2 linked regions of the Arabidopsis thaliana genome follow. The protein of the gene in region 2 interacts with the protein of the main gene of each other region in a pairwise test. Each region holds a gene or a part of one and is shown on either strand. Other genes may lie near its edges. The genes, in order: AT3G23690 and LBD21.

The links.
Region 1: the proteins of LBD21 (region 2) and AT3G23690 interact in a two-hybrid assay, tested with the Arabidopsis thaliana proteins (one large-scale study listed by BioGRID).

The regions. Positions count from the first base shown.
Region 1 is NC_003074.8:8,529,344-8,533,271, reverse strand, and holds the start of AT3G23690 (basic helix-loop-helix (bHLH) DNA-binding superfamily protein), read left to right. Parts: upstream 1-1,913; 5' UTR 1,914-2,616; coding exon 2,617-3,036; intron 3,037-3,201; coding exon 3,202-3,402; intron 3,403-3,502; coding exon 3,503-3,637; intron 3,638-3,720; coding exon 3,721-3,792; intron 3,793-3,875; coding exon 3,876-3,928. Other genes in the region: AT3G23700 (Nucleic acid-binding proteins superfamily), read left to right, coding at 63-124, 197-356, 448-568, 650-731, 812-915, 1,203-1,281, 1,366-1,416, 1,500-1,583.
Region 2 is NC_003074.8:3,472,980-3,476,523, reverse strand, and holds LBD21 (LOB domain-containing protein 21), read right to left. Parts: upstream 1,603-3,544; 5' UTR 1,489-1,602; coding exon 991-1,488; 3' UTR 676-990; downstream 1-675. Other genes in the region: AT3G11100 (sequence-specific DNA binding transcription factor), read left to right, coding at 21-34; RLP35 (receptor like protein 35), read right to left, coding at 3,212-3,544.

The sequences.
Region 1 (3,928 bases), 5.1 Mb from region 2:
GTTTATGTCCTTAAAGTATCGATTTTTACATTGATCGATGGTTTGTGTTTTGCTTTATGAAGAGCCTCAGAAAAGTATTCATGAGATAGCTAAGACTTTGGTTGGTTCTAAACTTCCTGTAAAGGTAAAGTTTTCTCCTTTGGCTTGTTTTGTGATCTCTATATTGTTTATAATTTGAGGTAAATCTTTATATTAGGTTGTTCAAGCTGATGAGGAAAATAGAAAGTTGATTTTATCTGAGAAGTTAGCATTATGGCCAAAGTATTCACAAAACGTTAATGTTGGGGATGTGTTTAACGGAAGAGTAGGTTCTGTTGAGGACTATGGTGCCTTTATCCACTTGCGTTTTGATGATGGTATATTTGCTTTTACCTAAATTTCTTGGTTTCTTTTTCTTGTTTTGAGCTTATGACATTGATGTCAGTTATGTGGGGTGGTGGTGTATAGGTCTTTATCATTTAACTGGACTAGTGCATGTCTCCGAAGTATCATGGGATTACGTTCAAGATGTTAGGGATGTACTACGCGATGGTGACGAGGTTCGGGTTATAGTCACGAATATTGACAAGTGAGTTGCTTATTTTGGTTACTGAAATTTATTAGCCATGACTCATGATATAGTTTTTAATCAAAAGTTGTTCCAATGCAGAGAGAAATCAAGGATTACACTATCCATCAAACAACTAGAAGATGATCCTCTTCTAGAAACATTAGACAAAGTGATTTTGAAGGTAAAACAATGTGAATGAATGTGTTTTCTGTCTCTTGTGGGTCTTAGTGATTTTTAATAGATAATTGAATATTGTTACAGGACAGTTCTACTGGATCTCCTTCGCTAAGCTCGAACAATGGGGATACAATTGAACCTCTTCCAGGGCTAGAAACAATACTTGAAGAGCTTTTAAAGGAAGATGGGTATATAGACAATATCATTTTATAATTTAAATTTACTATGCAGTCCTAGTCAGCTCTTTGCATAATATCTGCTTATTATAAGTGACTAGGATCACCTCTACTCTACTAGATTTGTTCACTCCTCGATTTGCGATTGAATATATACATGTCAATAGCTATTGCTGGCTGATACTTTTTCTGAACCCATGATGAGTTGGATATTGTTAATTGCATTACTTATAGAATCTATGTTTCAGGCATAACATTTTGGTTCCAGTGTGTAACTAATATTCATTTCTATATTGCAGAATAGAAGCTGTGAAAATCAACCGGCAAGGATTTGAGAAAAGAGTGGTTTCACAAGACCTACAACTTTGGCTCTCAAATGTGAGTTCTGTTTCTCTTTACTTTCCCGTAAGAATAAACTCTGCTCTGTGAAAATTCTGATTCTATGCGCATGTTCACACGCAGACACCGCCTTCTGATGGGAAGTTTGTTCTTCTTGCCCGTGCTGGAAGACAGGTAAATCTCAGAAGCTACCCATTTATATGGCCATAGATAGAGAGATTCTTGGTTTGATTTTAAGTAAAATATTAACATTACAGGTGCAAGAGATACACTTGACAACGTCTCTGGAACAAGGAGGAATCAAGAAAGCGCTTCAGCATGTACTAGAACGCGTCCCCTAAGAACCCGAAAAAAGACTTTTGATACTCAGCCACTATATTCAGCTCTATGCATCTCAAACTCTTGCCAATGTAACTTCAAGTGGAGCAGAGACTACTTCAGAAATATTCTTAAAAGGCAAAAATGCAAATTCATTTGTATCATCATTATATGTCACACATAACACAAACCTATGAAAATATATGTGTATACTCAATGTTTTTAGTTACACATTATAAACTTCATTAACATAAACAACTCATAATACATCAAATTCAAGTCTAAAACCTTCTCAAGTCAATAATTGACTTTTTTGACACCATGTTTTGGTAAGTACCATCATCTTTTAAAATAGTCTCTTAACCAAGAATAATCAAACATGATAATTAAAAACAATTTTATCCTTTTGTTTGTTTTCTCTCCCACAACTTTCCTGTCTCTGCCATGCACATGCTCTCTCTCTCTCTCTCTTTCTTCTCTCTTATTCTCACTCCAATGATTACAGAGGCCAGCCTAAGCAGCCTACCCACTTTCACCATCTAATGTTCCCACATTAACATAAAACACACGTAAGATTCTTCTCCTTTTGAACTGTAAAATTCACTCTTTTTTAATTTCTTAATCTTTCTTATCATTACTTTCTCTTTTTTATTTTGTCATTTTCTCTTAAACCTTCTTCTTCTTCTTCCTTTGATCAGTAAAAAAAGTCACCGCCTTCTTCTTCTCTTTCCTCTTTCCCCTAATTGATCAATCATGCTTCTTCATTTCTAGTTCTCTCTTCCTGACTCATTTCCCTCATTAGATCTTCTTCTCCACTAAACCCATAATTGAAAGAAGCTCTTTTTTTGCTTACATTGAAGTTAAAAAATCATCACTTGTTTTGTTTTTGAAGAAACACACATAAAGTTTGTCTTTTTACTTCTCAAATTTGGTTGTTTTCACTCAATTTCAATCTTGCTTTCTGATTCAGATTCTGGGTTTTCTTCAGAATTCCCAGAGAAGTTGTTGGAATTGAATTTTTCACTTTTTTGTTCATAAAAGTTCTAGTCTTTTTAGATGAACATGGACAAGGAAACAGAGCAAACCCTAAATTACTTACCTTTGGGTCAGAGCGATCCCTTTGGCAATGGCAATGAAGGAACAATTGGAGATTTCCTTGGAAGATACTGCAACAACCCTCAGGAGATTTCACCGTTAACTCTACAATCCTTCTCTCTGAATTCTCAGATCTCCGAGAATTTCCCAATCTCTGGTGGAATCAGATTCCCTCCATATCCAGGTCAATTTGGATCCGATCGTGAATTTGGGTCACAACCAACAACGCAGGAGAGTAACAAGAGCTCTTTGTTGGATCCAGATTCAGTTTCGGATCGAGTTCACACCACGAAATCTAACTCTAGAAAGAGGAAGTCGATTCCTAGTGGTAATGGCAAGGAGTCTCCAGCTTCATCGTCTCTTACAGCTTCCAATTCAAAGGTTTTGATTCATTATCTCTCTTGCTCTATTTCAAAAATGTATACTTTAGGAAACTGTAGCCATATGTGTAAGAAAGTTTGTGTTTTGTGGAGACTTTTTATCTATAGACCTTTTAGTGTGTGTACAAGGTTTTTTAGTTGTGTTTGGTTTTGGATATATGATTAGGTTTCAGGAGAGAATGGTGGATCTAAAGGTGGGAAGAGAAGCAAGCAAGATGTAGCTGGGAGTAGTAAAAACGGAGTAGAGAAGTGCGATAGTAAAGGCGACAATAAGGACGATGCTAAGCCTCCTGAGGCGCCTAAAGATTATATTCATGTCAGAGCTAGAAGGGGTCAAGCAACTGATAGCCATAGTCTTGCTGAAAGAGTACTACACACCTTCTAAAACTGATCTGTTTTTTTGTTGATTAGGGGCTGTTTTGATGTTTATGATGTTGATGTTTTTTTTGGCTGTGTTTTGGTTTCAGGCAAGAAGAGAAAAGATTAGTGAGAGAATGACGTTGCTTCAGGATCTGGTTCCTGGTTGCAACCGGATTACAGGGAAAGCAGTCATGCTTGATGAAATTATAAATTATGTGCAGTCCTTGCAGAGACAAGTTGAGGTATGAATTGTGTATTTCATAAATGTTCTTGAAAGTTGGAGTTTGTATATCTTGAATCTAAAACTCGTGGTTTGTTTCTTTAGTTCTTGTCCATGAAGCTGGCTACCGTAAATCCAAGGATGGAGTTTAATGCTAATGCTTCTTTATCCACAGAGGTAAGATTCTGCTTTGTATCTATAATGGAATGGTCAGATTATGGAATGTTTTGTATCTATAATGTGTGTATTTGTATGTGTAGATGATTCAACCGGGGGAGTCGTTAACGCAGTCTCTTTACGCAATGGCTTGCTC
Region 2 (3,544 bases):
GTGCTTTGTTTGTTGTATAGGTAAGAAGTTGTAGGATTGTAGATTGTGGAGGAGTTACTGATGTGAAGCAAGGAGCAATGGTTGGATCTAAAGCTCATACGATTTGGAGAAGATGTTATTATTATTGATCTTTAGGTTTTCTTAAGTTATAGCGCGATGCTTTTTTTCTTCTTCTTCTTTTTCATTCTCTTTTTTAGCATTGTAGAGTTACATTGGTAGTAGCAATGCGAATTACCAAAAGAACTCTCATAGTATCTGACATATCAAGATGTACTTTTGTGAAGTATCAATGTATGATGGTTTGTGTATCAGTGTCTGCAGTTCCAAATTGTGCTCATCTCTCTTTCTGTGATCTGCAATTACTCTTTTGCTTAGGCAGGTTTCAGGAATGTGTACAGACTTAACAAGATGCGTAGAACGGTTCTGAGGAGAACTCTTATCAGAGTCATTCATAATTCAGTTTGGAATTTGATCAAACCCACCAAGCTATTGATTTGGATGTTTGCTTATGTGACTTTGCTGCACTCTGGAATCTCCAGGACAAGACTCTTGTGGCCTGAGGGAGACGAGTTGACACATGAGGCTGTATTATTGGAGCCTCAAAAAAGAACATCATAGAAGCATATATATCAATGTTTCATGTTTGGTAGAATTTCGGGATGACATAAGCATGTGCTCTCCTATTCATACCTGACTTACAAAGAAGCTCTTCATCTAAAACACCTCACTTTACTCACCTTGGCCTACCACTTGGTCCAAAACTGGTAAGGACTCTGACCTTCCAAGGCTCATCTTGTACCTGAGTTATCTCATCGCATGTGATGGTTACTTTTGAAGTTAAAACCCTTTTTCATACATATGATGAAGTAAGCATCTGATTATGCATACTGGAATTCATACATTAGGGACAGACTTTAGATTGTCAAAGATAACTTGTAAAGCAAAGTGCAAATACAGCTGATAAAGAGATATATGATAGAGAGATAAGGCCTATACAAAAGGAGGCTGTCCAAGATCATACAAGTAAGCATCAAGATTAGTAGACCCATCAAGCAACATCAAGTCACTATAAGGTACAAGATCAAGAAAAGCAGCAAGCTCAGGAGAATCATCCAAAGGGGACACTTGGCTGTTGTTGACCCCAGAATGGGCAAGTAGTCGAGTGCGAGCAACAGCTAGATCGTGTTGAAGCTCGAGCATCTTCTTCTGCAGAGACGCTATGGCTCCAATGCAACCGTAAACAGGATCCTTGAGACGAACCTCAGCTTCATAAGCCAAGGAGTTAACGGTTTCTTGTCTCTGTTCTTCAGGAACTTCACCGAGAAGCTTACTGACGTTGCTGGCTCCAAAGACTTTATGGACTTTGGCGAAAGTTATCAAGTCACTTGAGCGGAAATAAGGAGCGAAAATGCAAGTGGGTGTGCATCGTCTCTTCAAGAGCTTGCAGGCTGCACAAGATGAGCTTGATCGTGGCTCATGCCCTCTCATCTCAAACTTTTTGTTTGTTTGTTTTGATTTTTTGGTGGTAAATGTTAGGCTCTCGTTTTTTCTAAGTTTTATCTCGTGCTTCCTTTATATATTGATAAGAGTCTTTTAACTTTTTGTGAAGAAGAGTGTTTTTGAAAGTAATAGAGAGAAGGAAACAAATGGGACAAGGCATGGGCCTATTCATCATTTGTGTTGGCTTTGAGCTTTTCCTTGCTAATTACATGATTGGTCGTGAGTTCGAGTCCATAAATCATAATCATATATTGAAAAATCAAAGGTACTATAGAGATAGAGAGAGTTAAAGTAACAACACATCAGCTAATTTTCTCTTTTATAGAAGAAGAAACAAGAGAAGCAAGACTTTTGGATTAGTGGAAACAAGTCAATCAAGCAAAATACAAAATAGCTTTCACTTTGCTCCAAATTGAAGAGGAAATTTCTTACAAAGTGGGCACCAATATAGAACTGAGCTTATATCACTTTTTGTGGTTCTTATTGTAGATTATACATAGCTTAAGCAAAAGAAAGTCAAATAATAAAATAAATAAAATCACAGGTAGCATATAAAAATTGGAGTGTGGAAATGGAGAAGACAAGACATTTGACAAGAAAAGTGAGAGAATGAGAAGCCCACCACCATCACCACCGTCCCCTTCACTATCCATTTTCTCTTCTTTCTTTGGCTTCCTCTTCTACTCATCATTCATTTTGGTTGTGAATTTATACCAATAACAAGAAAAACTTAACTCAAAACTTAAAATTTCTTTTGTTAAATCAAATATTCATAAATCTTAAGGACCTTAAATCTTTTAACCTTTATAATGAGTACACAAAACGATAATATTGTTATCTCTTAACCTTTGTGAATGAGTATAAATATACAAACAAGTAATGGTTTAAAGAAATTGCTAGTAGCAACTTAAAAAGAATTGTCATTTACTTAATTAAATCTTCTTATCTTGTCATTTCATAAATTAAATCGTAATATGTAATGCTTTCCATTCCTTTTCCACTATGGATTATAATCCCATAGGCTTACCTAAACTTTTCTAGTAGTTCACAGAGCTTAGCATATAATCACTCCCTTTCCTTAAGCCATTACCAAAAACCCAAAAACTCATCATCAAAACACACTTCTCCATTCTCGTATAAACTACTTGAAAATGTCGAGAATGAAACAGCTTGCTGCTGCAAAATAGCAGATAAATGTCTAATAAAGAACCAGACACAACTGACTTCAAATATATCCATGTATAAGGTTTAGTTTATCAAAATACAGTAAAAATGGCTTTTTGATCAAATATTCCCCAATTCTATAATTGCTCTGTATTTCTGCGTCTTAATTGATACGAACAAATAGACATACATTTTTAGATACGAGAGTGCAATGGGGAAAGAAATGATAACAACAAACTCGCGGGAAAAAACAACTTTACATGTACATCTAAAGAGCGAAAAACAGAGTTGTTCAATTACAAAGTTGGCTAAAAACAGAGTAGAAGAGAAAAACACAAGCTAAACCGGAAACAATCTGGATTTGAAAATGGCTAAAAGAGTGGTTGGTTAACGTCAAGGAGTTCGTCCGGTTACTTTGACTTTCCTCTTCCAGATTATTCAGATAGGTTATAAGCCTATAACAACGAAAATAAGTTGTTAAAACAGAAATAAAATTCATTCTGATGGAAAGCTACCAAACTCGTTCAAAAGTCGGAACATTACCTCTCTAGTGGGTGGTGGTGTTTCTGCGTCGACGATTGTTTCGGCCAAAAGGGTTCATGAACCACTCTGGTTTGTAGGAAACCAATATGTATCCAATCGTTAATCCAAAGACAATTCCAGGTATGAATCCTATTGCGGCTGCTATCCAGCTTATCTCTTCTTCGTCTTCTTCCTCTGTTTCTGTCGTTTCATTCTGTTGTGATGCTGGCGTATGTTTATCTCTGCAGACTTCGTCAAGAGAAGGGCCAAAAAGTCCCAGGTTATTCTCAAAGGCAGAGCAATTTTGCCTTCGAAACTGCGTACCTCCTGGTACTAGGCCTGCAAGCTGGTTATGAGA